4 linked regions of the Elephas maximus indicus genome follow. The protein of the gene in region 1 binds, or shares a complex with, the protein of each later gene. Links are inferred from orthologs where the notes say so. Each region holds a gene or a part of one and is shown in the gene's direction. Other genes may lie near its edges. The genes, in order: SNRPE, PRPF4, SF3B2 and CRIPT.

Region 1 (7,493 bases):
TTATCTCAAGGAAATAGCTCACACATTTGTAGAGGCTGGCAAGACCCAAGTCTGCGGGTCAGGGATCAGTCTGGAGGCTTCTCTTGACTCGTGTAGCTACGGGGGCTGATGAACTCAAGATCGGCAGGTCAGACGTAAGGTCACTGGCTCACAGAGTGCAGAGGCTGATGAATCCAAGATCAGCAGGTAAGATGACAGGCTGTTGGCTCACAGGCTGTGGAGGCCAATGAATCCTGAGATCAGCAGGCAGTATAGTTGGTTGCTGGCTCAAATACCAAAAACCAAAGGTCAGATGTTGATGAGCCAGATGCAGGATCCAGAGCAAGCAAGTGAGCTTTGTCAGAAGGTTCACATATATACTGGATGCAGGCCACACCCCCGAGGAAATGCCCCTCACAACTGATTGGCTGATCGCATCAGATCGCATCATGGAGGATGACTACATCATTACATAACTGCCAAATCACTGAGACTCATGGCCCAGCCAAGTTAGCACACAACCTTAACTATCACACCAAACCTTGCCATGGAAAAAAGGTTGGAACAGAACTGATAATCAAATTCATGGTCTGAAAAGATGGTCATACAGCATTGTCTTAAAGAAAAATTAAAATAATTACCAATTTACCCTAAACATAGCACCCAGTCTGTCCTTTGGAGTCTGTTTTCTGAAACTGACTTAATTCTTCAAAAGAGCACAATGCCCAAGGCAAAATGGCCTTATTAGCTTATTTAGAGGTTTTTTTTTTTAGACCATTGTTTGACTCAAATGTGACACTTAGGAACCAGTTTCTTCAAGGCTAAAGGTTCAAAAGGACACCTAACTGCAAATGGCCTGGGTCAGTCACCCCAACTCCACGGATCCAGAAATCTGTGTTTCAGGAGAATATAAATGGTTTCTCATCCTTAAGTAACAACACCCCACCACCCCCTCTCTCCAGCCCTTGGTAGCCACTAATATAAATTTACTTCTACGTATTTGCCTCTTCTAGTGTCTTAGGATGGGTTCTCTACAAAAGCAAAACCAGTAAAGCCTATATATATATATGTATGTATGTATGTATATATATATATACACACACACACACATATATAAAGAGATTATACCAAGGAGATGGCTCACATGGTAGTAGAGACTGGAGTGTCCCAATTCCGTGTGTCAGGATAGAGGCTTCTCCTGATTCATGTAGCTGCAGGGGCTGGCAAACCCAAGATAGGCAGGTCAGAGAACAGGGCTATTGCTCACAGGCTGCGAAGATCAATGAGTCGCAAGATTAGCAGGCAAGACCGCAGGTAAGCTACTAGCTCAAGTCCCGAGAGCCAGAAGTCAGACAAACAGGAGCTGCAGGATCCAGCACAAATGAAAAGCCCTCAAGTCTTACCAGAATGTCCGCTTATATTTAATGCAGGCCACACACCCAAGGAAACTCCCTTTCAACTGATTGGCTACTTACAGCAGCAGATCCCATCATGGGGGTGATCACATACCAAATCTCAACAGGAAAGTGATCACAACATAATACGACTGCCAAAAACACTGAGAATCATGGCCCAGCCAAGGTGACACTCAGTCTTAACCATCACATCTAGATAGTTCATAGAAGTGGAATCATACAATATTCTTTTGTGCCTGACATTTCACTCAGCACAATGCTTTCAAGGTTCATCCATGCTGTAGCATGTATCAGAACTTCATTTCTCTTTATGACTGAATAATTTCCACTGTATGTATCACATTTATTTATCCACTGATGGACTTTCAGGTTGTTTCCACCTTTTGGCTACTGTGAATGATGCTGCAGTGAACACTGGTGTGTAAGTATCAGTTTGAGTCCCTGCTTTCAGTTCTTTGAAATTGGAATTGCTGAGTTCATACCACTTTTTTTTAACTTTGCCATCTAATGGGGAAAAAATGATATTTCACTGTAGTTTAGTCTGCATTTCTCTTATAATAACTGAAGTTGGGTATCTGTTCATAAGTTTGAAGACCATTTTATTTTGTTAATGAACTGATTAAGAAATCATACTACCCTGCCAGAGAGACCATGTGGAGAGGCCCCAAGACTACATAGAGAGGGAAAGGGACCCAGCCAATGCCAGCCTTCCAAAGATACCCACCAAGGCCTTAGATATGTCTCCTGAAGAATTACCCAACTGAGCTCGGCCTAAATTCCTGACTCGCAAAATCATAAATTATAATAAAATGGTTGCTGTTTTAAGTCAATAAGTTTTGGAAAATTTTCATACACAGCACTAGAGAGCCAAAACAGCATTTAACATTTTAGATTTTATTTTCAGGAGCTCTTTATGTGTTAGCGAAATTAGCCATTTGTCTGATTTGTTGCAAATAACATATTTTCCCCAATTCTTCTGACTTTGCTTATCATCATGCCTTTTTAGTCTTGTAAAACTTTATAATTTTTATGTAGTTGATTTGTCTTTTAACAAATGGTTAGAGCATACAATTGAGGAAAAGACTCAATTTTTAAATAAGAGAGATGAAGAGTCTAGGATTAAATTTAAGAATTGGACAAGTTTTATATGAAGAAAACAAAAAACTTCTGTAGGATTCAAAGGAATACTTGGACAAATGAAAAGACATCGTGTACTTGAATTAAAAAAAATTTAGTTATTCTAAAGTTTAATGAAATCTCAAAAAAAAAAAAAAAATCCCCAAAGGGTTTTGAAAACTGATTCTGAAGAGTATATGAAAGTAACTAAACAAGAATAGCTTGGAAAATGCTACCTATTTCTAGTTCTATAGAAGAAAACATATTTATAAAGCTACAATACTTACAACTATGATATTGGTTCCATAGACACAAGGATCAATTGAACAAAGTAGAAGTCCCAGATACACACACACAAACACACACACTTGATATATTATAAATGTGGCATTTTAAAATAATAGGGGGAAAGATGAGGTTTTTTTTTTTTTGTAACGGTGATGGAAAACTGATAGCTGTTAGGAAAATATAAAGTTGTATCACCTCTAGGATATACAAGGATACTAGGATAAATTCAGGTGGAGCAGCAAAGACTTAAATGTAAAAAAGACAATTACAAAAAAAGAAAAAGGAAACAACACAACACTCTTAATGAGTTACATAATCCAGTTACATGAGTGGTTATAGGGATCAACACCCAAAAGTCCAGTAACAGGAAAATGCTAAAACAAGTAGCTAAGCATCTGTGCATTTGAGACAGGTATTACACTACTACTGAATAGGTAGGTGTTAATACTACTACTCTTGTGTTCTATCCATATAGGGTCCCTACAAGTAGGGATTGACTTGACGGCAATGGGTTTGGTTTTGGGGGGTTTTGTGTTCTATCCCGGCTGTCTTTGAATTCAGCAAATCTTTACCCAAATCTTTGTCCAATTAACTCCGTTCAGAGCATGGGGTAGGAATGAGGTTAAGAGAAATAACTGTCCCATGACCTTTCTAGCTCTTTATAGTTAAAAAATCACTTCTATGTCCCCTGATTCAACACTTTTGAAGAGGTAGAAATTGGTTTTATCCTCATTCAACAAAAGACCTCAGTTAGGTAAGTTCTGATTCTGCCACTTTCCGTTAATGTCCCTTAGGCAAGTCCCTTCAACTCTGAGCTTCAGTTTCCTCATTTAAAAAATGAGTGTTCCAATTGAATGAAATTTCTGCCAGGCCACAAGCCACCACGACATAACGGAAACACTGGATGAGCTTTGGGGTGTGGCATACTTGCGCATTTCAGCTCCCCCACTCACTAGGTCGTTACCAGCGAAACGGTGTGTCACATCTAACACTGACTCCAGCCTGAACGTGTGTGTGTGTGCGCACTGTATTACACCACTGAATTCTCACCACAAACCCGTAAGGAAGGTACTATTAATTTTATCTCCATTTTGCACATTTCGGTCACGTAACTATTAAGTGAGCTGGATTTGAGCCCAGCATCGGATTTCAGAGCCTTCACGCTAAATCACCACGTTGTTGCCACCTCACAAAACTCCCCCACGGAGCTGACGAGAGGAGTTGAATCCGTCACTAGGGCAAACCACAGACTGGGGCTGTTTGCTCGGGCTTCCTGCCGCTCTCCCCGCGCTCGCCCCACAACGCTGCCGTCGAGCCTAAATTCCAGGAAGCTAGGCCTCAGGAAAAGGACTAATTTAACCCATTTTACAGACAGAGACACGCAATAGGACGACTACGGCTCTAAAAGCGGAAATCAGAAAACGGAAACGACCTGGTGCCTGTGTTTCTACCGCTTTCCCCCGCTTCCACCGCACGACCGAAGTCCCTCGGGGCTTTCTCCCGTCTCCCTCCAGGTGGCGCTGTAGGATCGGATCAGGTTCCGATCCTACCGAGTGCAGCGCCCTCAGTTCGGCCTCCCCGGGATGCTACAGATCACAGAGAAAGCCACTCTGCGGCTAGAGAGGCACCACCCAGTAGCCGTCAGGTCGCTGCGCGGCCTCAATACATTTCCGTTTCCGGTTCCTAATTCCGGAAGTCGCTTTCTGCGTCGGCGTGCGGCTTAGTGTGGTCTTTGTGAGCTTCCACCATGGCTTACCGTGGCCAGGGCCAGAAAGTGCAGAAGGTGATGGTGCAGCCCATCGTATCCTGCTTGAGATGTCAGGACTAGGAGATTCGGGCTAGGAAACGGAGGACGAAGGAGCGGGCAGAGACCCGGCCTGAAGGCGAGGAGTGCGGGTTACATCCCATGAGCCTCCGGGGTGATCGAGACCGGGAGAAAGCGCGGGTAGTTGGACTGGTGCTGGGTGGGAGGTGAGGATAGGCCGACCCCGGGGGTGGGAGATGTAGGATGTCGAGGCTGAGCGGAGGGACGACATCGCTGGGTACTGAGTGAACGCAGAATTACCGGTTTGAGGGAGGTTGTCGGGGCGATGGAAACTCCTGACGGATAAGGGAGTGGGGGGGATTCCTTCCGGGTTTTTAGGAGACTTCGGTTGAGTGCCATTTGTTGGGCACTGTTACTTGTGTAGGCAGCAGACCTCACGTTCAGAAAACAAACCAAAAAAAAAAAAAAAAGTGCGATGGTTGAGATCGACCAGTTCCTTAACTACTGTGATGCAGAACCTTATCTTCAGATATTTGCAAAATGTACGTAAGTTACTTGTTTCATAATGATTTTTTAAGTAAAAGTTGGGTTTTCTAAGCTGTATGTGTCAGTCTACTGGGTCGCTGTGTTCTATGTTAAAAATAAATGAAATCAGAGGAGGGGCTGGAGGGATAATTGACAGGAAAGGGTACAGAGAAGCCTTAATATAAGAAAGTAGTTATTTACAGCTGTCAACTCCAAGCGTGCAAAGAATTGTGTCATTTCTTTCCAAAACCAAAATTATGAGTTTCAGGGTTTGTTCGTTGGCAGACGTGTTGATAGTATTTGGTGCTTTTGTTGTAGTGATTATGACCAGAATATGGGAACGTTCTGATCTCCTCCACTTAGGGTTGCCAGAAGGTCAAACATGGCTTAAAAGAAATACCCAGTTAACTTAAACCATGTCGTGAGATGTGTGCTTAATGCCTATGGGAAAACTTACATATAGAAAAGACGTTTAAAAATGTGGAGTGAAGAAGTAGATTCAGCCTGCTTTCCTTTGGGGGGATTTTTAGCAATACTTTCAGTTGACAGGTCAGATGTTAAAATTATCTCTGAAAGAAAATGTTTCTGTTGCTCTGACAAGTTTTAGTGTGTGATAAGTAACACAGTTGAAAAACAGAGTAATTTCAAGCCCCGTAAATTGTAAACACCGGAATTGGTGATCCTCCTCTGGTGGTTATGTGTGTGACACGGAGGGCTGAGAAGCTAGAAGAAGCCTTGCTTTGGAGCTGGATTTTGCTTTATCAGATACAACATATGCCCTTAATCTTGATCGTCGGAATTTACTGCTTTGTGCTATACTGTCACCAATTTTTAATCTCAGTGGATTGGGATTATAAGTAATGAGAAATATGATTGAGTCCTGAGATCACAGCCAATTTGTTAGCCCAGACAATCACAGTATAACATTTAATAAATGAAAAGGTTTCTTGGCAAGTAACCTATCTTGACTCTTAGGTATAGACTTGCTGGTTAAAATTCTTGACTTATATTTTTCGGATAGTTTTTTAGGAGCCATAGTTCATCTCTGTTGTTTAACCAAAGTGATTAGATTGTATTTACTTATTCTAACATTTCTTTTTTTATGATTATTTCAGAGATCCCGGATTCAGGTGTGGCTGTATGAGCAAGTGAATATGCGGATAGAGGGCTGTATCATAGTGAGTACCCAGGATATTTTATCTCAGAGCAGTTTGTTCCCAGAAAAAGACTTAACGGAAAGTGGCTAGGCAGAGCAATATATGGAAAATTGAAGATTCAACCCAAGGAAAGTTTTTCAGGGCCCCCTGGTTAGCCTTGTCATTGTTCTAGTTGTTAGGGGTTGGGTAATTCAAAAAAGAACAGGAAAATTAAGCTTTTAGGATTACTTAAACAACAATATTGGCATTGCGGAAGGGGACAAAAGAGATAAACCAGTTGCCATCGAGTTGATTCCAACTCATAGCAACCCTAAAGGACAGAGTAGATCTGCCCCATAGGTTTTCCAAGGCTGTAATCCTTACAGAAGTGGATTGTCATATCTTTCTTCTGCAGAGTGGCTGGTGGGTTTAAACTCCCAACCTTTTGGTTGGCAGCTGAGCGCTTAACTGGTGCCCCACCAGGGCTTCCTCAGAAAAAATAAAACATAAATTTAGAAGGGGAGATTAATGGAAGCATGGCTGAAAGTATTACGTCAGAGCACTCTGGTATTCCATTTAGACATGGCAATTCCGTTTAGACATCTTAGATTTCATCGGTAATCTCCCCTGCCCGATTTACCGGTCGGGAAACAAATGTGGTTAGTGGTAATAGCATATTGTGGGGACACAGGGGGAGAGCATTGGCAGAAGATAATCATAGACATACACACATACTCTATCAGGCAGGTTGTGAAAGAGAGCAAGAGTGGCTCCTTGGCATAGCTAATGAAATCCTAAGTCCAAGAGGTTTGAGTAGTAATTTAGAATACCTTCTGGCTTTCTTTGTTACTTAAAAAGAGACTTAGGGTGAAGGTGGTGCTTACATATGCCTTACTTTAGATGAAAGATCAGTAGAGGGACGAATTTCTGAAGTTCATTGGCATTCTGTATCTAGATAGATACACTCATTTTTGAATGGTTTGAATGTGATCTAACTCGATGATGGTCCTGTGGCTTATTTTCTAGGGTTTTGATGAGTATATGAACCTTGTGTTAGATGATGCAGAAGAGATTCATTCTAAAACAAAGTCAAGAAAACAACTGGGTAAGAATATAGATGGCCTTACAGAATCCTAGAAAGGTTTATTCAGTTGCAAAATTAGTGACCTGCAGCTCAGTTCATTCTTAAATTTAGTTTGCATTTGAGAAGTTATTGTTTGGGGGAGTAGTGTACTCTTTCGAAATCATCCTCTCCCACTTACCCCATTC
Region 2 (7,797 bases), on another chromosome or scaffold:
CTGTACTTTGCCAAGCATGATGTCCTTCTCCAGAGACTGATCCCTCCTGACAACACGTCCAAAGTATGTAAGACGCAGTCTCATCATCCTTGCTTCTAAGGAGCATTCTGGTTGTACTTCTTCCAAGACAGATTTGTTCGTTCTTCTGGCAGTCCATGGTATATTCAATATTCTTCAACAACACCACAATTCAAAGGCGTCAACTCTTCTTTGGTCTTCCTTATTCGTTGTCCAGCTTTCATATGCATATGATGCAATTGAAAATACCATGGCTTGGGTCAGGAGCACCTTAGTTTTCAAGGTGATATCTTTGTTCTTCAACACTTTAAAGAGGTCCTTTGCAGCAGATTTACCCAGTGCAATGCGTCTTTTGATTTCTTGACTGCTGCTTCCATGGCTGTTGATTGTGGATCCAAGTAAAATGAAATCTTTGACAACTTCAATCTTTTCTCCGTTTATCGTGATGTTGCTCACTAGTCCAGTTGTGAGGATTTTTGTTTTCTGTATGTTGAGGTGCAATCCATACTGAAGGCTGTGGTCTTTGATCTTCATTAGTAAGTGCTTCAAGTCCTCTTCACTTTCAGCAAGAAAGTTTGTCATCTGCATAACGCAGGCTGTTAATGAGTCCTCTAATCCTGATGCTCTGTTCTTCTTCATATAGTCCAGCTTCTCATATTATTTGCTCAGCATACAGATTGAATAGGTATGGTTAAAGAATACAACCCTGACGCACACCTTTCCTGACTTTAAACCAATCAGTATCCCCTTGTTCTGTCCGAACAACTGCCTCTTGATCTATGGAAAGGTTCCTCCTTATGCACAATTAACTGTTCTGGAATTCCTGTTCTTCACAACGTTACCCATAATTTGTTATGATCCACACAGTCGAATGCCTTTGCATGGTCAATAAAACACAGGTAAACATCCTTCCGGTATTCTCTGCTTTCAGCCAGGATCCATCTGACATCAGCAATGATATCCCTGGTTCCACGTCCTCTTCTGAAACCAGCCTGAATTTCTGGCAGTTCCCTGTCGATATACTGCTGCAGCCGTTTTTTGAGTGATCTTCAGCAAAATTTTGTGTGTGATATTAATGATAAAAAAAAAAAAATTTTTTTTTATTAATGATACTATCCTATAATTTTCACATTCGGTTGGATCACCTTTCTTGGGAATAGGCATAAATATGGATCTCTTCCAGTCAGTTGGCCAGGAAGCTGTCTTCCATATTTCTTGGCATAGATGAGTGAGCACCTCCAGTGCTGCATCTGTTTGTTGAAACATCTCAATTGATATTCCTTCAATTCCTGGAGCCTTGTTTTTCGCCAATGCCTTCAGAGTAGCTTGGACTTCTTCCTTCAGTACCATCGGTTCCTGATCATATGCTACCTCTTGAAATGGTTGAACATTGACTAATTCTTTTTGGTATAACGACTCTGTGTATTCCTTCCATCTTTTTTTGATGCTTCCTGTGTCGTTTAATATTTTCCCCATGGAATTCTTAACTATTGCAACTCGAGGCTTGAATTTTTTCTTCAGTTCTTTCAGCTTGAGAAACGCTGAGCATGTTCTCCCCTTTTGGTTTTTCATCTCCAGCTCTTTGCACATGTCATTATAATACTTTACTTTGTCTTCTCGAGAGGCCCTTTGAAATCTTCTGTTCAGTTCTTTTACTTCATCAATTCTTCCTTTTGCTTTAGCTGCTCGATGCTCAAGAGCAAGTATCAGAGTCTCCTCTGACATCCACCTTGGTCTTTTCTTTCTTACTTTAAGGTGTTAAAAAGCGAAGATGTTACTTTGAGAACTAAGGTGCACGTGACTCAAGCCATCGTATTTTCAACCTCCTTATATGCATGCAAAAGGTGGACTATGAATAAGGAAGACCAAAGAAAAATGGGTGCCTTTGAATTATGGTGTTGGTGAAGAATATTGGACTGCCAGAACAATGAACAAATCTGTCTTGGAAGAAGTACAGCCAGAAAGCTCCTTAGAAGTGAGGATGGTGAAACTTCACCTCACGTACTTTGGACATGCTATCATGAGGGGCCAGTCCCTGGAGAAGGACATCATGCTTGGTAAAGTAGAGGGTCAGCCAGAGAGTAAGACCCTCAATAAGATGGACTGCCACAGTGGTTGCAACAATGGGCTCAAGCATAGCAACGATTGTGAGGATGGCAGAGGAGCAGGCAGCGTTTCGTTTTGCTGTACAAAGGGTCGCTACGAGTCGGACACGACTCGACGGCACCGAACAAGAAGTGGGAGAGTGGACATGCCATTAAGTTTAATCCACTAGACATGAGAATTGTCAGAGATTTCTGATCACTCCAGAACACTGAAGTTTGCTACATTTCATGAAAACTCCCTCTAACTCACCAGTTCACAGGATTATCCTCAGAGTCTGAATGGATAAGTCATTTATTCAGTGAACGCTTCTTGTGTTTCAGCTACAGAGTTAAAGGACACAGTCTGTGGGGAAACAGTCAAGGAAACAGAAAATTACGACACAGAATAACAAGAACTCTGATGAGGCTAATACAATGGCATCACAGAGGCACCTAAACCCAGTTGAACGTGGGGTGGGCAGGAATGTCAGGAGGGCTTCCTAGTGAAGAGGACGTCTTAGTTCAGTTCTGAAGGACAAGCAGAGAAAGGGGACTAAAGGCATTCCAGGCAGATAGGAGTTTGCAGAGGCTTAAGAGAGTACTACACAGTCTAAGAACCCAAGGTAATACTTGTGTTAACAAAAAGAACAAGTATTTTTTGAGAAGAAAACAAAACTCCCACAACTGAGTTTAACATCTGTTGATGGCATTATCTTTACATTCTCCACAGCATCCAGTAGAATGTATTTTTATCAAGTAGTCAGTAAATACTTGTTGAATAAAATGAGAGATCTAATAGAGAACGTGAGATGAACTTTTTTTGAGTACTGTTCTAAGATTTTCCTCTCCTTTCTTTACATTCTTAGTTTAATCTTCACAGAAACCCTGTGAAGCTGACAAAATTATCCCCATTTTTCAGATAAAGAAGTTGAAGCAAGCTGTTCAATTTTGGCTAATAATGTGGGCCTCCTATAATCACACATACATCACAGGATGAGGATTAAATGAGAATAGTGTAAAAGAATGCCCTTTATAAGTATGTGCAGACATAAATTTTTATTTGTAGCTAGGGACTGTGAAGTATGCAAATAAAGGTATGTTTCCTCTTCCCATGAAGCTTGGGACTGATATTACCAACATAAAACTCTGGCACATTACATTTCAAACTGCTTTGCACTAAATCAGATAGACTCTTCTACCAGATTCCAATGTAAACAAGTGGTAGAAGAAGCCAAATTTCCAAAGAAAGCATGAGGCGGAAGGAAGGGTAAATACTTAAGAGAAAAAAGTGCTATAAGTTTTCTTAGCTTTTCTGCAGACTGAAAAGCTGGACACTAGGAAGTTGTGTAGAGGAATGGTTTAAAAGTGCTGGGGCTCCCACTCTGCCACTGACGGTGAACAATTAGTATCAGCTCTCACTAGACCTTAGTTTCCTTCCCTGTATCTGTACTCTGTGGTAACGACTGAATGACATAAGGCAGATCAACCTCCTGGCACATAATTTGGCATTTAGGAAACGCCAACGCTAGAGGGCAAAAGGAAAGGTTGGCGGTTGGCGTATGCCTAGAGCTGCCTCAGAAGAAAGGCCTGGTGATCTACTTCCGAAAAATCAGCCACTGAAAACCCTATGGAGCGCAGCTCTACTGTAACACACTTGGGGTCACCACATGTCAGTATGTTTCCACAGCAACTGGTTTTTGGTTTCATTATTATCGTAATTTTCCTCAGTAGAGGGGCGCCTCCATCCAGCTCCGCTAACACCAGTATTCTGAGGCTCCCTCATTCACCCTGTGAGTGCAAAAACCTTGTTTTGTATAATCTCTGATGCCCCAGCACGCAGCAGGGCACAGGGCTGTGCCGAGAGTTGCCTGTGTATACCTTACCTGTCCCCTTCATATCCATCACCTCACTCTGAATCTGAAAGAAAGACCGGTGGAGAGCTAACAACCAAATCAGGCCATGGCTCCTCCGCCCAGTATTTTATTTTGGCGCTAACGGGCTCTTCGAGCTTAATCTCCAGCCGCTGCCCAAATCCTCCAGAAATTCACAACTCAGAGGGAGTCCTTAGGAGGGCTTCCGGACAGCAGGCAACAACCCTCCTCCAGAGCCAGGGAAGCACTCAGGGGTTCAGGGCGATGGTTTCCACGGCAACAAGGTCCCCCGCTCCAGGACAACATAAAGTCTCCCGTAGGCCCAGGAGGGACTGCAGGCCCCGGAAGTCATCAATTAGCTCCAAGGTTCAGCCCGGAGTCGCGCCACTGCATACACATACCTCCTTTCAAGCCTGCTCAGCTCAGCCCCTTCCCGGAACCTTAGCGCCCATCACCAATCTACCGCTAAAACGAGTGGACTACACTTCCCAGACTTCTCTGAGACTCTCTCTGCAGACTCTTGTCTCCCGCGTGGTTTACTCGGAAGCTGCACAGGTCACGCCTCCAGACGTGACGAGAATCTACCCTACTACGATTCCCATCAAGCTCCGCGCTACCCCAGTCGCTGCGCCGGTTCTAGGCCCAGTTCCGGTCGATGACGTAGTTCCGCTTTGCTGGGCGCGCGGTGGACGGTCTGAACGTACCGCTCGGTTTTCGCTGGAGTTTGCGGCTCCAGAGCCCGGCATGGCCGCCTCACGACCTCCTTCCACGGTACAGAACTCGGAATCTCTGCTTACTGTGGCAGGGAGCGCCGAGTGATTACTGCAGGATGGGGCCGCTAGGAAATGGATAAGGCGGTGGAGGGAGGAGGAGGGAGAGAGACTGCGGTACTCATTGTTCCATTATGGAGCCGAGCAGCGCTATCCTGGTACCTGAGCGTTTTCATACGCTTTGGTCTCTTTCGTCTCTCTCGCTACAGCCCTGGAACGGTAAACACTTCCTCCGACTGGTCCCAAAGCGGAGACCTGAAGGAGGGAAATGTCTTGGTCAAGATTCACGTCTATGTCAGTTGTAATGAGGCCTCCTAACCCCGTATCTGTTGTCGTTTGAAATGTATAGACCAGGAATTTACGTTAGCACCTGGTTAGCTATTTCATTCAAATAACCAGCCTTTCATTCAAAAGATTTCAACCAAATCCTTGCTGTTTCCCTCGTGATAAGCAATAATCTTAGAAGGTTCATAAAACCCAAGAAGAGATTGCACTTCCAACCGACATGAAGTAAACAGATTCCAAAGTAAAACGTTGATAGAAAAATCACCAAGAGAAATTCATTAGTTTTATCGACCTTCTGCTACCTGTCTGCAAAACTTAAGTGATGGAGGGATGGAAACACCCTTCAAATCAGGGAAGAACATCTTAACTGGTGTCCAACTTGCCCTTTCATTCGGGGAGGAAATAGGATTGAAGCTCAGGATGAGCTTTGGGGACGCCTAGTAGATTGCTAAGATTAAGCCTTAAATTAATTCAGTTCTTTGGTTTAGCAGGGAACCAAAACCTCTAAGGCACCTGATGACTTAGTTGCTCCTGTTGTGAAGAAACCCCACATCTATTATGGAAGTTTGGAAGAGAAGGAGAGGGAACGTCTGGCCAAAGGAGAGTCTGGAATTTTGGGGAAAGAAGGACTTAAAGCAGGAATCGAAGCTGGAAATATTAACATAACCTCTGGTGAGATGCAATTTGAGTCTCTCTTTACGTTTGATGCTCAAATTTTCTATAGTGAATACCTTCCTAGATAATTATCACTAGTTTTGTGGTCTCTAAAGTTTTCAATTCTTAAACTTGCACCTGTAAGGCCATACTTTGCCTACCACCCTTAGCATCATTTGGAGAGCCTGTTTCTTAGGATCTTTTATACAGTTTTTTGTTCCGTGGATTGTTAGGAATTTACTCAGATGTTTAGGTATTTGGGCTCAGATTGATTGTGTTTGTCTTCTAGAGAGCTAGGATAGTTGTGGCATTGGTTTGGAGCTATTGTGGTTCATAACGTTCTCCCTTTTTTTAGTTTTCCAATTATTTTTCAGCCAGAGTGAAACCTGTGTTTTTTAAGTATAAAAGTAATAGCTGTTTTTATTTTTGTTAAATCAAAAATGTAGAGATGTACGAAGTAGAAAATCCCGTGATCCTTATTAATTAGGTGTGTATCCATCCAGAGGCTACTCAAAAAAGGCCTGGCAATCTGCTTCCAAAAAATCAGCCATTGAAAACCCTGTGGAGTGTAATCCTATTCCTACATACATGGGGTCACCATGATTCTGAATCGACTCTATGGCAACTGGGTATCTTTCTGAGAATTTTAATATAGCTATAAAAATACATATTTTTTTTCCATAAATGAAACCATGATGTACAAATTGTTTTGTAACCTGTGTTTTCACTCTGTATGCTGCTGCGGGTATTGTTCCATGTCAGTACCGAGGAGTTTGCTGTATTTTTTAAAATAAAAGTATGCACGGTTGTCATAAGAAATTTAAATGGTACAGAAGAATATAAAATGAAGACTCCTCTGCAGAAAGTTTCTTGTCAAGCCTCCCATTAACCTTTTATGCTGTTTTCAAACACAATTGCATCACTATTGTACCTCTTATTTTTCATCAAAATGCTCATATTTGGTTTGGGTTTTAAAACTTGTTGTTAGGTTGTAAAAAGCCTTATAATCATGGAAAGCTCATCTTCATAGTAATTAGTTTCAGTTAACTAGTTGTATTTCTATGCTATACTGGGACTGTTAGAGAGTAACTTTGGCAATTACTAAAATAGTGTTTCTATTTTATCTTTTGGATAGAAGGGCTTTGGTAAAGATGTTTTATACTCCTTTTTTTTTTTTTTCTTGTCATTCACATTTTGTTATTTTTTTAGATATACCAGCATGTATTTTTTTTTTTAATTGTGCTTTAGGTGCAAGTTTACAGTTCAAGTAAATTTCTCATTCAGAAATTTATAGACATACTGTTTTGTGACATTGGTTGCAATCCCCACCATGTGACAGCACACTCCCCCTTTCCACTCTGGGTTCCGTATGTTCATTCATCCAGTTCCTGTCCCTTCCTGCCTTCTCGTCATGCTCTTGAACAAGAGTTGCCCTTTTGGTCTCACGGGTGTTATTTTGTTTTATAGCCTGTCTAATTTTTGTTTGAAAAGTGGGTTGCAGGAATGTTTTCAGTTCTGGGTTAGCAGAGTGTTCAGGGGCCATAGTTTCGGGGATTTGTATCCTTACCCTCTGATCCCATCTAAGTTATGTGTTTTTATTAGGTGTAAGGTTGCCAAAATGACTTGAACCACTTTCCTGCCTTTTAAAGCTGTGTCATTTAGTTTTACGTATTTGACGTAATTTAGTAAACTGAAAAATGGTAAACTATCTATAAAACGTGTACTAGACTGGACAGTTGCCTTTCCCTAGTGGCATACGTAGACGACAGTTGTTAGAAATTATCTCTTTCTATTTGAAGATCTGGTGATTATACTGAAGTTGCCCGTTCTTTTTATAGGAGAAGTGTTTGAAATTGAAGAACACATCAGTGAGCGACAGGCAGAAGTATTGGCTGAGTTTGAGAGAAGAAAGCGAGCCCGGCAAATCAATGTTTCCACAGATGACTCAGAGGTCAAGGCTTGCCTTAGAGCCTTGGGAGAACCCATCACACTTTTTGGAGAGGGCCCTGCTGAAAGAAGAGAGAGGTGCCCTTCCTAATTCCTAAATATTTACTCTTCTTTTTTTTTTAATCACAAGGTTCTAGTTCCAAATTTGTCAGTCTTCGTAGCTGAAAC
Region 3 (7,179 bases), on another chromosome or scaffold:
CTGGGGACCCCATCCTGACTTGAGGGATGGCACAGACGGGTGAGTGGGGAAACTGACCTGGGCACTAGGGAGGAAGGGGCTAAAGGACGTAGAGGGTTGCAAATTAATGACCCCGGGAGATCAGATATCCTTCCATCTCCCTCTCCTCCTTTTCTTCTCCTAGCCTGCGCCAGGTCCCCAGCCCCCTCTCCCTGTCATCCACCTCCACATCCCTGTCTCCCAATTTCCTACATCCTTCTCTCTCCATCACTACCCACCCCCACCATTCCCTCGATTTCCTCCCAACCTCTCCCAGGGCTCCGGTCACCAGGCGCAGGTCACCCTGAGGCACAGGCCAGCGTCGCCCTCTGCCCCGTCCTCTCCCGTTCCCCACAGGGCAGCGCGCCCCTCCTCCAGCGCCCAGGCTCTAGGCCCCCAGACACTCCGCCCACCGTCGTCCCCTAGCCCCGGGCAACCACTGCAGTACTCACGCCGCGCGGGCTCTGCCTCCAGCCGGGCTGCTGCGGCGTGGTCACCGCTACCCACCCGCCTCTGGTCCTGAGCTCTGCGCGAGTCCTAGGTGGCCGGGGCCCTGCGCGCCAAATGCCGACCGCTCGCCGCGCGGCGCCTCGATGGGATCAGGTGGCGGCGGCCGCTCGGCTCCACTCGGCTCTGCTTTGCCCGCCGCCCGCCCCCCATCGCACACCGGAGGCGGGGCGGGGGCCGGGAGCAGGAGAGGGGGAGGGGCTCGAAGGGGAGGGGGCGGCCTGGCGGAGCTGGCGGCGCTACCGGCGTTGCAGGGGAACTCTCTCCCCGGAGCGTCTTGGGGTGTGGGCATCTTCACCCGGCAGCCTCGCAGGGGCTGGACACCAACGCGGCCAGCCCTCTTCCCTAGCTGAACTGAAGGGAAAACTGAGGCCAGGAAGGTGTCTGAATACTCCAGTGTAGCCGGGCCCCCCTCGTGGAGTTAGACGCACAGAGAGATGCGTTTACGGGCACCCACGTGCTCCCTCTCCCTCTCCTTCTCCTTTCCACCTGCGCAAGAAGCGCAGCTCCAACCCCTGGTCTGGATCCATCTGCCCTCACACCCAGAGACTCCTTCCTTCCAACCTGCGGTCCACACTCCCCGGGTCCTGCCCCCGTCCCTCACCCACTCCTACTCCCCACCAGGACTCCTTACCAAAGCTTTAGTGGGACCTGGACCCCCGACTGGGTACTGTGCATCAGGAATCAGAGGACCGAATTCCATCCTGGTTTGTCACTGAATCTCCGAGTTAAGAGGCAATGCCCTGAGCCCATGGCTTCCAGCTCCAGCTCTAAAATGGGAACAACGGCCCTGTTTCCTGGAGCTTTTCTGGGGCTGTAGAGATAATACAGGCGAAGGCTCTGTGTACACCCCAGTGTGTGTAGGGGGGTAGTCCTGAATTTTCCACTGCCTCCTTAGTCCTTGGAGTCCCTGGGCAGTGCAAATGGTTAGCACTCAGCTCTTAATCAGAAGGTTGGAGGTTTGAGTCCTCCCGGAGGTGCCTGGGAAGAAAGTCGTGTTCTTCTACTTAAGAAAAATCAGTCATCGAGAACTCAATGGAGCACAGTTCTACTCTGACATACATGAGGTCACCATGACTGGGAATTGACTCAATGGCAACTGGATTCTTAGTTCTTAGCTCCTGCCACCTGGGAGTTGGGCAGCAGTACCTCCCCCAAACCAGGCCAGTTGTCAAGAGCCCTTCATTCTGTTCTGGGAGGGACCCCTGCTTTCTCCTTTCCTGTGGGCTGGCGTGGCAGGGGTGCTGGGGCAGCCAATCAAAGCTGGGACTAATTGGGCTGGATACCCCCATTCCAAGCCAACTCAGGTAATTGGTGGGTGTTGAGGAGCAGAAGGGAATGGGGACTTTCAGCATCAGGAGAGCTGCTTGTGGTCGCAGTTCAGCCCTTTGGGCCTGTCAGCTTCTCTCTGCCCATCAAGCTTCCCTTTTGCACAATGGAGCCAGGGGGAGGGAGCGGGTAGTCCTACCCCGCCTGCCTCCCAGGGCTGTTGTGCTGAAATGAGGCCCTGCTTGGTGTGTCCCTTTCTGGCCCTGGCTACATTGCCTCCTCACCAGTCAGTCTTTACCCTAGACTGCTCAGACAGTGACCCCTCCCCCAGCAGGTTGGGGCACCTGAGGGCCTCCAGCCTCAGATGACCTGCTGGGGCTCTCAGGTTTCAGAAGCAGAAAGAGTCTTCCTTTGGGTCCAAAGTGGTTCTGCCTGAGTGGGCTGACGAGCTGGAGGGGAGGGCACCACTGTTCTTTCTTCTATGCTGTCTTTCTGGGAGTGGCAGCTGGCAACTGGGATGGTGGTCATGATGGAAGGGGTTTGGGCAGGAGTGAAAGGAACTTCCTGGCTCAGTCCTATTCCCTATTTTTCCTAGACCTCACCTCCCCTAGACCTGGGGCCGCATTCTTTCTCTGTTCCCAGCTACTTTGCTGTTGGGGGCAGTTGGTGAAATGGAGCCAGACAGAGAGAAGATCTGAAGGCAGTGTGTGTGTGGTGGGGACAGGGGTGGGTTATCCAACAGGCAGATTACCAGATCATTTGAAGTTTCAAAGATGTGAAACCCATGTGAAATTGTTCACTACAGATTAGTAAGCACAAGTAAGCCTGTGCTTACCTTGTTTACTAGGTCATCTGGTTGTCAAGGATTGTAACTTTGAAAAGAGGCTTTGATTTTGTAGGAAGGTGCTGTGGGATTGGGAGAGCGACAGATGCCAGCCATACCTAGAAGCAGAGTCTTTGATGTGATGAAAAAATGTGTGCTTACCTTGCCTATTGGATAATCCGCCCCTAGGTGGGGGTAGTAAATAAGACCATTTTACCTGAGTGCCCCCCAACTAAACACACACACACACACACACACACACACGCACGCAGTGAGCCTGGCAGTCAGGATGGGAGAGGGACCTCAGAACTAGTGGCAGATGTGGGAAGGAGAGATTGATGGGAGGAGGGAGACGCGCGGTAGCCAGACAGGTAAAAGCACCTGTCCATGCCCCTGGCAGGCCCTGGGGGTTGGGTGGGGTGGGGGGGGGGTGGAGGAGAACGGGGTCGCCTGCCACTGGGCTGGAGGGGCTCAGAGAAGCAGAGGTCCTGAGTTTGGACTACAACCAAAACCAAAGCCGCTGCCCTCGAGTTGATTCCAACTCATAGCGACTCTATAGGACAGAGTAGAACTGCCCCATAGAGCTTCCAAGGAGCGCCTGGTGGATTTGAACTACCAACCTTTTTTGGTTAGCAGCTGTAGCACTTAACCACTAAGCCACCAGGGTTTCCAGTTTAGACTAAGGAAGATGTAAATCTTGCCACCATTAAGATTGCTTCATTTACTCTTTTGCACTCATCTTTATTGAGTGCTTCTTGGATCCCAGATGCCGCATGCCAGACAGCAAAATGACCAGGTACCTGCTCACGTTCTTGGGGATGGAGGTGAGTGTGGAGAGAAGGGCAAAAAACAAACAGTAGAGGTTTGAACGTGTTATGAGAGCTCCAAGAATAGGAAAGCGGGAGAAGGCTTAACGGAGGAGACACTTGAGCCGGCCCGGAAGGTGGAAATGGGGCTTTAGTGTTGCCCTTCCCCCAGGTCGGGAGTTGGAGCTCAGCCCGGGCGGGCCCGCTCCTCTCCCGGCTCCGATCCCCTTACAGCCCATTCATCCATGTCTGGGCCGGGGGCGGGCGGGCAGACAATCAGACACTGTTTTATCACAGGCATCGGCTCCAGCCTCCCGCTTGGCGCCCGCAACGTTCGGCCACCGGGGGAAAGGGCCTCTCGGGCGTCCCTGGAAACACGAGCGTCCCGGCTCTCACGCCTATTCAGGGAGTCGGGCCGGAAGGCTGATAGTCCGCGCTCGGGCAGGCGAGACGCAGAAAGCGTCCTTCCAACTAGACAGCTTTGGCCGCAGCAACGTCCGCCCGTAGGGTTTCCCGGAGCTGTAATGGGCACTGTATTCCTGGCGCTGGACCCGCAGTGACCGTCAGCTGCGTACTACAACTCCCAGAAGGCTTCGCGACCAGGCCATCTGCGGACCACTGGATAAAGGGCGCGTCTGTTGGCGAATCACGTTTCCCGGCCGTTGGTCCGGGGTGGCCCTCTAGCCGAACAGCCCTCCAATCCGCGGGCGGGCTGCTGGACGTCGTCCCCGGAAGTTCCGGGAAGTGGGCCCGGAGCTGGCCCTGGCATCCGGGTTGGTCGCGCGCCTTCCTGCGGCTAAGATGGCGACCGAGCATCCCGAGCCTCCCAAAGGGGAGCTACAGCTGCCGCCGCCGCCACCCCCAGGGCACTATGGTGCCTGGGCTGCCCAGGAGCTTCAGGCTAAGTTGGCAGAGATTGGAGCGCCGATCCAGGGTGAGGAGCGCGGAAGGTCAAGAGGGGACTACATGGGCCTGCAGAGAAGCGGAGCCTTGTTACCTCGGAGACTCGGGGGCAGGGGGCGGAGGCGGGCTAATAGGGCCCGCCCTGGCCGGGTCGGCCGGACCTAGCCCACTCCGACCCAGCATTGATCACTGACTCTGTGTTTGCCACGCAGGGAGTCGCGAGGAGCTGGTGGAGCGGCTGCAGACCTACACCCGCCAGGTAAGTGCCAGCGGAGGGACGTCAGGATAGACCAGGCTTCTCAAGGCAGCCTTCAAGACATCACGGCTCGGTCTTCATTCTTAGTGCTCCCGGCACAGCAAGGTCTTGCACTTTTTTGCATGCTCTTGCTTGTTCTTGACTTTACCTGTTCTGTTGTCATAGCTTTATGCATAGTGGCCCTCCCCAGTGCCCGAGCTCCAAGCTCCTGCAGACGGGCACTGGGTAAGCTTTGTTGAATGAATGAGAGGGAACGTCGTTTATTGGATCAGTGCTTCTTGACCTGGTCTAGAGTTGTTCGTTCTTTTTTTGCAGACTGGCATGGTGCTGAATCGGCCGGTTCTCAGAAGAGATGATGGGGACAAAGCTGCTCCCCCTCCCATGTCAGCACAGGTGAGGAAGTTGTTCTACTTTATAAGGTCTCTTCTACCCAGGATAGGCACATCTTCTCATGTGCAGTGCACTGGGAATGCAGTTAGCAGGGTGGGCAGGGAGGTACTCCGTGGACAGAAGTGGGAGCCCTTCAGTTCTCTCTTGGTCCTGATACCTGCCTCCTTCTCCAACATTTGCTCCTCCAAATTCTATTTGACATTCAAGACTCACCTCTCAATTTCCATGTGCCTTCTGATCCAGCAGTGGCCAACCTGGGCTCCATTGACCTCAATGGATGGGGTGATGAGTCCCTAGATGGCTTTCAGACGTGTTCCTGAAGCTCCTGAAATTGTATGCAAAATTCGTTTTTTTGGAGAGAGAGTTGATAGTTTTTCTCTGTCGATGCTCCAAAGTTAACATTTTCTTTTCTTGGTTAATATCTGGGCCGTCCTCTTCCTGTATTCAAGAATCACGTGTTAAAGTTGCTGTCGTTAGATGCCTTCAAGTCAGTTTTTGACTCTTACTGACCCCATGTGACAGAGTAGAACTGTCCTGTAGGGTTTTCAGCCTGTAATCCTTACGGGAACAGATTGCCAGGTCTTTCTCTTGCAGAGCCACTGGGGCGTTTGAATCACCAACCTTTGCATTAGCAGCCACGTGCTTAACTGTTGCACCACCAGGGCTCATTGTGTGTTAACCCAAAACCAAACCAAACTCACTGCTGTCAAGTGGGCTCCAACTTATAGCGACCCTATAGAACAGAATAAAACTGCCCTGTTGGGTTTCCTGAGCTATAATCTTTACAGATGTAGACTGCCATATTTTTTTCCTATGGAATAGTTGGTGGGTTAGCAGCCGAGCACTTTAAGCATTGTGCCACCAGGGTTCCTTCCTTGTGTGTTAAGGAGGGAAAAAAGAAAGAATAATATGTTATTTGACTTTGAATCCCAGCACCCAGCAAATATCTGTAGGATAAATAGATAAGTGCTTCCTAGTTTACACTCATACTTTCTTCGCAGCTCTCCGGGATTCCCATGCCACCGCCACCCATGGGACTCCCCCCTCTACAACCTCCTCCACCACCCCCACCACCTCCACCAGGCCTTGGCCTTGGCTTTCCTATGGCAGGCGGACCCCACCCACCAAACTTGGGGCCCCCTCCTCCCCTCCGTGTGGGTGAGCCTGTGGCGCTGTCTGAGGAGGAACGGCTGAAGCTGGCACAGCAGCAGGCAGCATTGCTGATGCAGCAGGAGGAACGTGCCAAGCAGGTAGGGCAGGGGAGAGCCTGCGGCTAGGCCGAATCAGGCCCCTGAAAGGGGAGTGGAGCTCTAGAGGGAGCTGGATCGTAGGGCTGAGGCTTCTGGGAAGGTCTGGATCAATGCTTAGAACCTAGGCTGTAGGCCGGATGAGGACCACAGGAAGCAGAGTTGTGTTAGACAGAGGAATGGGGTTAGGCTGTAGGCCGGATGAGGACCACAGGAAGCAGAGTGGTGTCAGACAGGTGTGTGGGGTTAGGCTGTAGGCCGGATGAGGACCACAGGAAGCAGAGTGGTGTCAGACAGGTGTGTGGGGTTAGGCTGTAGGCCGGATAAGGACCACAGGAAGCAGAGTGGTGTCAGACAGGTGTGTGGGGTAAGGCTGTAGGCCGGATGAGGACCACAGGAGGCAGAGTGGTGTCAGACAGGTGTGTGGGGTTAGGCTGTAGGCTGGATAAGGACCACAGGAAGCAGAGTGGTGTCAGACAGGTGTGTGGGGTTAGGCTGTAGGCCGATTGAGGACCACAGGAGGCAGAGTGGTGTCAGACAGGTGTGTGGGGTTAGGCTGTAGGCTGGATAAGGACCACAGGAAGCAGAGTGGTGTCAGACAGGTGTGTGGGGTTAGGCTGTAGGCCGATTGAGGACCACAGGAGGCAGAGTGGTGTCAGACAGGTGTGTGGGGTTAGGCTGTAGGCCGGATGAGGACCACAGGAAGCAGAGTTGTGTTAGACAGGTGTGTGGGGTTAGGCTGTAGGCCGATTGAGGACCACAGGAAGCAGAGTGGTGTCAGACAGGTGTGCGGGGTTAGGCTGTAGGCCGGATGAGGACCACAGGAAGCAGAGTTGTGTCAGACAGGTGTGTGGGGTTAGGCTGTAGGCCGGATGAGGACCACAGGAAGCAGAGTTGTGTTAGACAGGTGTGTGGGGTTAGGCTGTAGGCCGATTGAGGACCACAGGAAGCAGAGTGGTG
Region 4 (6,831 bases), on another chromosome or scaffold:
TAGCGGCGCTCCATATAGAACAAATATTACATGAAAGCAGAAACAGGACATAAGAAAGTAGATGCAGCACTTCAAAAATCTGCCTACCTAAAAAAGAAAGGAATAATTTAAAGGCTCATCAGAACACCCAGAAGACAACAAATCCTTCCATTTTATCTACAGACACAAATCATTACCGTAATGTGTGAAACACCTGAATGCCCCTTGGATCTGAGGACCAAAGAGTCAAATCACACGTCCTGTGTGAAGTCAAGCACACAGCTGCAATACAGCTTTGTAGGAAGGGCTAAAAGGCGAGTACCACTCTCCTGTGTCCCGAACCCAACAAACACTAGAGTGAAAAAGGGGTTCTGTTTCTATGGCATATATTGAGCTTTGTATTTAATCAATATTTTTTGATAACAGAATGCAGGGATCCAAGAAAGCACAAAACACAGTCCTTATTACCAAAGAGCTGCAGAGACGATACATGAAATAGCTGCAAAATAAATATCAACTACAATAACTTATTTTATTTAAAAAAAAAAAAAACTTCCTAGGAAATTTTGCACCAAAAAAGCAAATTACTAAATAATCCCCCAAATCACATTCATGTTACTGTATGACCCACATGCAAAAAGACCTGCCTATCTGCAAATCAGTATGAGACCCGCTTATCTGGAGCTTAAATAAAGAAGATATAATTGTAAAACACACACATTGACCTTTTAGACTCATAAAGCAATACAAGTACCTTAAATTACCTAACACAGAGCTTACACATAGTATTGAATAATGTTAAGTGAGGACTTTATTAAATTGTCAACATGTCACACTGCAGTAAAGTAATTAATACTAAAGAAAATAAATTCTAACACCTGAAAACTTCACCACTGTTTAGTCAAGGAAGGCTGTGTTCAAAACAACAGAGCCACCATGGAGGCTCTTTTATAATTCCTGAGAACTCCATTAAGTGTCTTTCAGAAATGCAAAAATAAATGAAAATAAACTGCCCTAACTTCATAAATACTATCTATCAAACATTGTGGACAAACTTCTAGCAAGCAATTGGCCACTGATTTGAAAAAGAAACACCAGGTTAGTGAAAACTGAACTAATACTTTATTCTTCCATTAAAAAAAAAAACAACCCACTAGCCCCATTCAAAAACCAATTATGAAGGAATGAGCCTTACCTTGTGTGATAATGAGCTTCTTCTAGAGGGTGGATTTGGCTTCACTACCAAATAGAATACTAGATTGACGGCAGTTACAGAAACAGAACAGATGCACAGCCATGTCAAGTGGGTTTCCAATACTGAGAAGTCCTCCAAGAAGAGTGATGGAATGAAGGTGCTTAGGATAACTGAAAATATGCACAGGAGATGGGCATACAATAGTCTCCTGATGTCAGTATCTTTCATGGTGTTTTCTTCAGTGGCTATCTAGTGAAAAACAAATTAACGAAGTAAGAGCATATTCAATAACAAGTTCTTCCGTTGTCTCAAACGTTCCAACCCCTCATAATCAGCCATGAATTAAAGTCAATTTCTAGGCAATAATGTTTTTTTGCAAAAAATAGAAAGATGCATATGTGTTAACGCACAGGTAAATTTAACATTTTACCTTAGACCCTCTTACTGTGGTACTGATTCTTCCACCCAAACAGCTCTCAGAGCCTAAAAAGGACAAATTTACTAGTTTCTCAAATATTTGTAACTGGTTTCTGCAAAAGGGACATGTGCTAGGACCAATTAAGCAATTCATTTTACTTTTTTTGGCCAAAATCATGGAGATCAAAACTGCACAGATAAAATCATTTGGTTGGAAATATAACATATGCTGTCTAGAAACCCCATGAATACACTTTGGCCAAGTTGTTGTTGTTGTCTTCTACCACTCTGGATCCTTAGTCCAGCATCACAGTATTTACATCTTCTGGCAAATACACAGAAGCCCTGATGGCACAGTGGTTAAGAGCTTGGCTGCTAACCAAAAGGTCAACAGTTTGCATCTACTAGCCGCCCCTTGGAAACTCTCTGGGGCAGGCAGTTCCACTCTGTCCTACAGGGTCATCATGAGTCGGAATCGACTCAACGCCAACGGGTTACGCAAATACCAAGTGATACTAAGTGCACACTCAAATATTCAAATGATGGTGCCAAAGTAATCAAGGGAGTTCAAAGAGTGTTATGCTAAGGGACTCCAAAAACCAAAGCAGTTGCCATCCAGTCCATTTCAACTCATGGCGACCCCATGTGTTGCAGAGTAGAACTGTGCTCCATGTGGTTTTCGAGGTTGTGATAGTTTTCAAGCAGATCTTCTGAGGAGCCCCATGACTCAGGGACTCACTCCTAACGGATCCCATTTCTCCAGAGATACCAAAATGATAATGCCTCTTAGATGGCTGTTGAAAGAATGATGTTAACCCAAACCAAAAACCAAACCCAGTGCCGCTGAGTCAATTCTGACTCATAGGGACCCTATAGGACAGAGTAGAACTGCCCCATAGTTTCCAAGGAGTGCCTGGTGGATTCCAACTGCTGAACCTTTGGTTAGCAGCCATAGCGCTTAACCACTACACCACCAGGGTTTCCAAAGGATGATGTCACAGGTGCTATATTCCAATCAAAAGTAAAACATTAATGGAAGGAGGAAAAAAATGTACTTTTGGCACATACACATATACATACATACTGAGCGACCGTGAAAGAGCACGTGAGAGAATGATTGTCAAAGGCAAATATTTTACTGATAAGGAAACAAATTAAGATATGTTAAGAGACACATCCAAGGTCCTAAGCTCCCAAGTGCTAAAGCCACTCCAAAGCCTGGCCTCTTTATATCACACCAGGCATCGGGAAGAGATCGAAGGGGAAGATGAGACAAAACAGGTTTCTCACGGGTTCTAGCCTCAACAAACTGGGAAAGAAGGGCAATATTCAACAACAGATACCCCTTCGGGCACCATTCATCTCGGCCATTCTCAGAATGCCACCTGATATCAATGGATTTGGATCTAAGATAACGAGCAGTACCCATACTCCATGTTTGTTGAATGAATGCCCGAACGAGTAGGTAGAGGTTGCCCACAAACAAACGCAGGGGCCCTTCCTGAGAAACAAGCACTGTTAGGCCCTGGCGTGCCCGGGAAGACACCTAACAGGAGCCCCATGGGAAGGCCACCGCCCTGGCGCCGTCGGTTTCACCTGGCTCAGATCGACGGGTATTACAGCCGGTGAGAAGGCTCCTCTGAGCTGCTCCCAGAGAAGCCTTCCTGGGAATCGCGGGACGTCCATCTGCAGCCCCACCCCAAACTGGTCGATCAGGGCTCTGCCCAAGCTTCACCCGGCGGGATTACAGGTGGCAAAGAGCACAGGCGGTGGACACCAGAGAAAACAGGTACAGAGGCAAAAGTCGGATCCGAACCACAGTCGGTCCATCAGGGAAGCCCCTGGGGTCACGCCGGAATGGTGGCGCTCGAGCGGACGGTGGGGCACAGAGACTCGCGCCCACTGCGGCCGTTGCTGGGGGCTGCTCGCACCTCCGGGGGACGAGCGAGCCGGGGGCTCCAGCTGGGCTTACCTAACTCTCCCGCCCGCGGATGGGAAGGGGAGGCTGCCGCCACCCACCATCAGGTGCGACTCGCTGCCCTGACCCTCGCGCAGGCGCAAGGTCGTGGGGGCGGAACCCGAGCCCCAACAGCCAATCGCAAAGGAGAGGAGGCGGGCATATGGAGAAGCCCCGCCCACCGGCTCGCGTTTATTCCTCCCGCGGCTTTCCAGGTGTAGGATAGGCCGGAGCTCGGGGTTGAGAGGCCGGAAGTAGATCGACGTACCCGGAAGGAAAATCCTTTTCGGGTTGTAGTGTTGATGTTTGCGAGCTGCTGCTGCTATTGTTGTTAAGGGAACCGTCGTCTTCTGAAGGATGGTGTGCGAAAAATGTGAGTTAAGGGGCCGGTTCTGCGGGAGAAGGAGGCTAGCGAACCTAGGTGGACTTCCCGGGACCGTTGCCTTTCTTTTTCTTCTTCTCACAGGTCTCTTCATTCTAGTCTCTGTTCTGCTACCCTGCCCTTTGACCATTCACCCCCCTCTCCAGCTACCAAGCCAAACCCAATGCCGTCGAGTCGATTCCGACTCATAGCGACCCTGTAGGACAAAGTAGAACTGTCCCCTGGGGTTTCCAAGGAGCGCCTGGTGCATTCAAAATGCCGACCTTTTGGTTACCAGCCGAGCTCTTAACCGCTGCGCCACCAGGGCTCCAAGTGACCATATTCTACCAAAAATCACTGCTGCCATCGAGTCGATTCCGGTTCATAGCGACCCTATAGGACAGTAGAACTGCTTCCTCCAGCCCCGATCTCATCCCACATAGCTTCTTGACTGATTCCTTCACCTCATAGACACTCGGGTTTGGAATGGATCTTAAAAATCACATCTATAGTATCTTGTTGCCAGAGGTAGCAAATAAAAACACAGGATGTTCAGTTAAATGTAAATTTCAGATAAACCACGGATTATTTTTTTAGTATGAGTGTGTCACTTGGGTCTTGGCCATGTTTGTTGTCCCTTGCTATCTTTAGGACATACTTTACTAAAACTATTATTCATTGTTTATCTGAAATTCCAGTTTAACTAGGCAGGTGAGGGTGGAGAGACTTCATCTCAGTTACTTCGGACATTTTACCAGGAGGGGCCAATCCCTGGAGAAGGACATCATGCTTGGTAAAGTAGAGGTCATTGAAAAAAGAGGAAGACCCTCAACAAAATGGATTGACACAGTGACTACAACGGTGGGCTCAAACATACCTACTATTGTGAGGATGGCACAGGACTGGGCAATGTTTTATTCTGTTATATGTGGGGTCGCTATGAGTTGGAACAGACTCCAGGGGACCTAACAACATTTTTCTGTCAACCCTAAGTCACCCTCCCATCCAATGGTTTATATATTCTTTTCATGAATATCTACAGTATTGGGGCAGACAGGGATGGGAGAATCTCACCACCTCCAGAGCCGTTTACGTAGACATCGTTGGCTTTTAGAAAAGCCTACCTGCCTGTAGTTGCCACCCATTGATTCTAATGCAGACCCTTGAAATTTGTAGAAAACACCTCATGGCTTTTTAATCTTGTTGTTAGTTGCTGTCCATTCGATTGAGACTCATGGTGTTACTTCATAGTGTTGTCTTGGCTGTATCTTAATGGAAGCAGATCATCAAGTCTATTCTTCTGAGGTACCACTGGATGGGTTCAAACTGCCAACGTTTAGGTTAGCCTCTGAGAGCAAACCGTTTGTGCCCCCTACCCACTACCGTCGAGTCGATTCCGACTCATAGCGACCCTATAGGACAGAGTAGAACTGCCCATAGAGTTTCCAAGGAGCGCCTGGCGGATTTGAACTGCTCACCTCTTGGTTAGCAGCCGTAGCTCTTAACCACTATGCCACCAGGGTTTCCTTGTGCCGCGTAGGGACCTTTTTTTGATCTTCAAGCTGTTTATATTTAGCTTAAAAACAGCTGTCATATCCCCAAGTCTCATATCTTCTGGTTAAACATGTCTGGCTCTTTTCTCTCATTAAGCTTTTTTTAATTATAACTTCATTGAGATACAATCCACATAGCATACAATTCCCCCGCTTAAAGCGTACAATTCAGTGGTTTTTAGTATATTCACAGGATTGTGCAGCCCTCACCACGATGCATTTTAGACCATTTTCATCGCCTCAAAAAGCACATTAAACTTTTCACGTTGACATACTTTAACTGTTTTCCTTCCTGCACACAGCAGAGTTTGTTTGGCTGGTTTTTTGAGTGAATGTGACTTAATTATTTTCCAGTTATGCACCTGCCCTGACATCTTTTCTGTTCCATTGTGCACTTCTTAAATGTGTAAGTTTGGCCTTCCATGTAACTTGGGTTAATTTTGTGTAGTTTAACTTTTGAGAGGACAGGAGTTCTGTCTGGTTTTGTTTGTTATGCATAATACCCCTTAGTACTTTAAGTGCTTTGTCCCAGGAAAATTGAAAATACTGGGGAAACTGTGAGAGTTAATTTCTCAAGGTACACAGTAATTTTGGGAATCCAAGATCAGATGTGGTACTAAAATATACATATTTGATTCTGGGACATGATGTGTATCATAAAAGCTTGTTCCCTTTTTTCTTCTCTGCTGTTCTGTAAGTCTAGCCCTTTATTATATCTTTGGTCAAATACCTTCCTACCACCTAGACCATCTTGTTCCTTAAATGAAAATATACTCTCTCTATTGTATTTTTCTTATCTCCCAATACATCCACTCATTCTACTCTATAAATAAGCTCAGATCTCTCCCATACATAAAGCTGCACTCTCAAGTATCCACCTTAGCTCTCTCTTTCCATTCTCTGTAAAATTTTCAGAGACTTGGCTACATTCATTGCCTCCAGATTTTCACAGTTGCCTTTGAGCACCTTGCAAACTTACTTTCATCTTACCACATTTCTGAAAGGATTTTCAAAAGTTTGCCAGTGATCTGGTCACCAAGGTCAATGACCTTTTTTTCAGTCCTGCTTTACTTCTTTCTACGCTTCTTTAGCATTCTGCTCTTTAAGTTTTCTTATTTCTCCTTCCTCTCTTAAAGTAGATGTTCCCCAGTGGTCCATCTTTGATCTTCTTTTCTCTACTTTTTTTTTTTTTTCGCTTTTTCTTTGGAAGTGTTGGGCTTCAAGGAGTACCTCTATGCAGATGAGTGTTGAGTCCATGCTGGCAGCCCTCACTTCTCTCTTACCTGAGCACCAGCCGAACAGCTTTTTCTAAACAATACTGGGAAGCTTTACTTGGTTGTTATCTGGTAGTTTAATACTTCCAAGACTG

What was found.
Region 2: SNRPE (region 1) and PRPF4 share a complex: the UniProt entries of both Homo sapiens proteins name them as parts of the U4/U6-U5 tri-snRNP complex. The link is inferred for Elephas maximus indicus from reciprocal best matches to the Homo sapiens genes SNRPE and PRPF4.
Region 3: SNRPE (region 1) and SF3B2 share a complex: the UniProt entries of both Homo sapiens proteins name them as parts of the minor spliceosome. The link is inferred for Elephas maximus indicus from reciprocal best matches to the Homo sapiens genes SNRPE and SF3B2.
Region 4: SNRPE (region 1) and CRIPT share a complex: the UniProt entries of both Homo sapiens proteins name them as parts of the minor spliceosome. The link is inferred for Elephas maximus indicus from reciprocal best matches to the Homo sapiens genes SNRPE and CRIPT.

The regions. Positions count from the first base shown.
Region 1 is NC_064836.1:13,038,327-13,045,819, forward strand, and holds the start of SNRPE (small nuclear ribonucleoprotein E), read left to right. Parts: upstream 1-4,482; 5' UTR 4,483-4,545; coding exon 4,546-4,599; intron 4,600-5,078; coding exon 5,079-5,105; intron 5,106-6,203; coding exon 6,204-6,266; intron 6,267-7,250; coding exon 7,251-7,329; intron 7,330-7,493. UniProt on the Homo sapiens protein: Plays a role in pre-mRNA splicing as a core component of the spliceosomal U1, U2, U4 and U5 small nuclear ribonucleoproteins (snRNPs), the building blocks of the spliceosome.
Region 2 is NC_064827.1:62,533,631-62,541,427, forward strand, and holds the start of PRPF4 (U4/U6 small nuclear ribonucleoprotein Prp4), read left to right. Parts: upstream 1-4,775; 5' UTR 4,776-4,818; coding exon 4,819-4,962; intron 4,963-5,516; coding exon 5,517-5,700; intron 5,701-7,520; coding exon 7,521-7,707; intron 7,708-7,797. UniProt on the Homo sapiens protein: Plays a role in pre-mRNA splicing as component of the U4/U6-U5 tri-snRNP complex that is involved in spliceosome assembly, and as component of the precatalytic spliceosome (spliceosome B complex).
Region 3 is NC_064825.1:129,193,535-129,200,713, forward strand, and holds the start of SF3B2 (splicing factor 3B subunit 2), read left to right. Parts: upstream 1-4,176; 5' UTR 4,177-4,224; coding exon 4,225-4,357; intron 4,358-4,538; coding exon 4,539-4,585; intron 4,586-4,897; coding exon 4,898-4,975; intron 4,976-5,973; coding exon 5,974-6,222; intron 6,223-7,179. UniProt on the Homo sapiens protein: Component of the 17S U2 SnRNP complex of the spliceosome, a large ribonucleoprotein complex that removes introns from transcribed pre-mRNAs.
Region 4 is NC_064844.1:15,567,529-15,574,359, reverse strand, and holds the start of CRIPT (cysteine-rich PDZ-binding protein), read left to right. Parts: upstream 1-3,814; 5' UTR 3,815-3,905; coding exon 3,906-3,921; intron 3,922-6,831. Other genes in the region: PIGF (phosphatidylinositol-glycan biosynthesis class F protein), read right to left, coding at 1-87, 1,175-1,423, 3,188-3,277. UniProt on the Homo sapiens protein: As a component of the minor spliceosome, involved in the splicing of U12-type introns in pre-mRNAs. Involved in the cytoskeletal anchoring of DLG4 in excitatory synapses.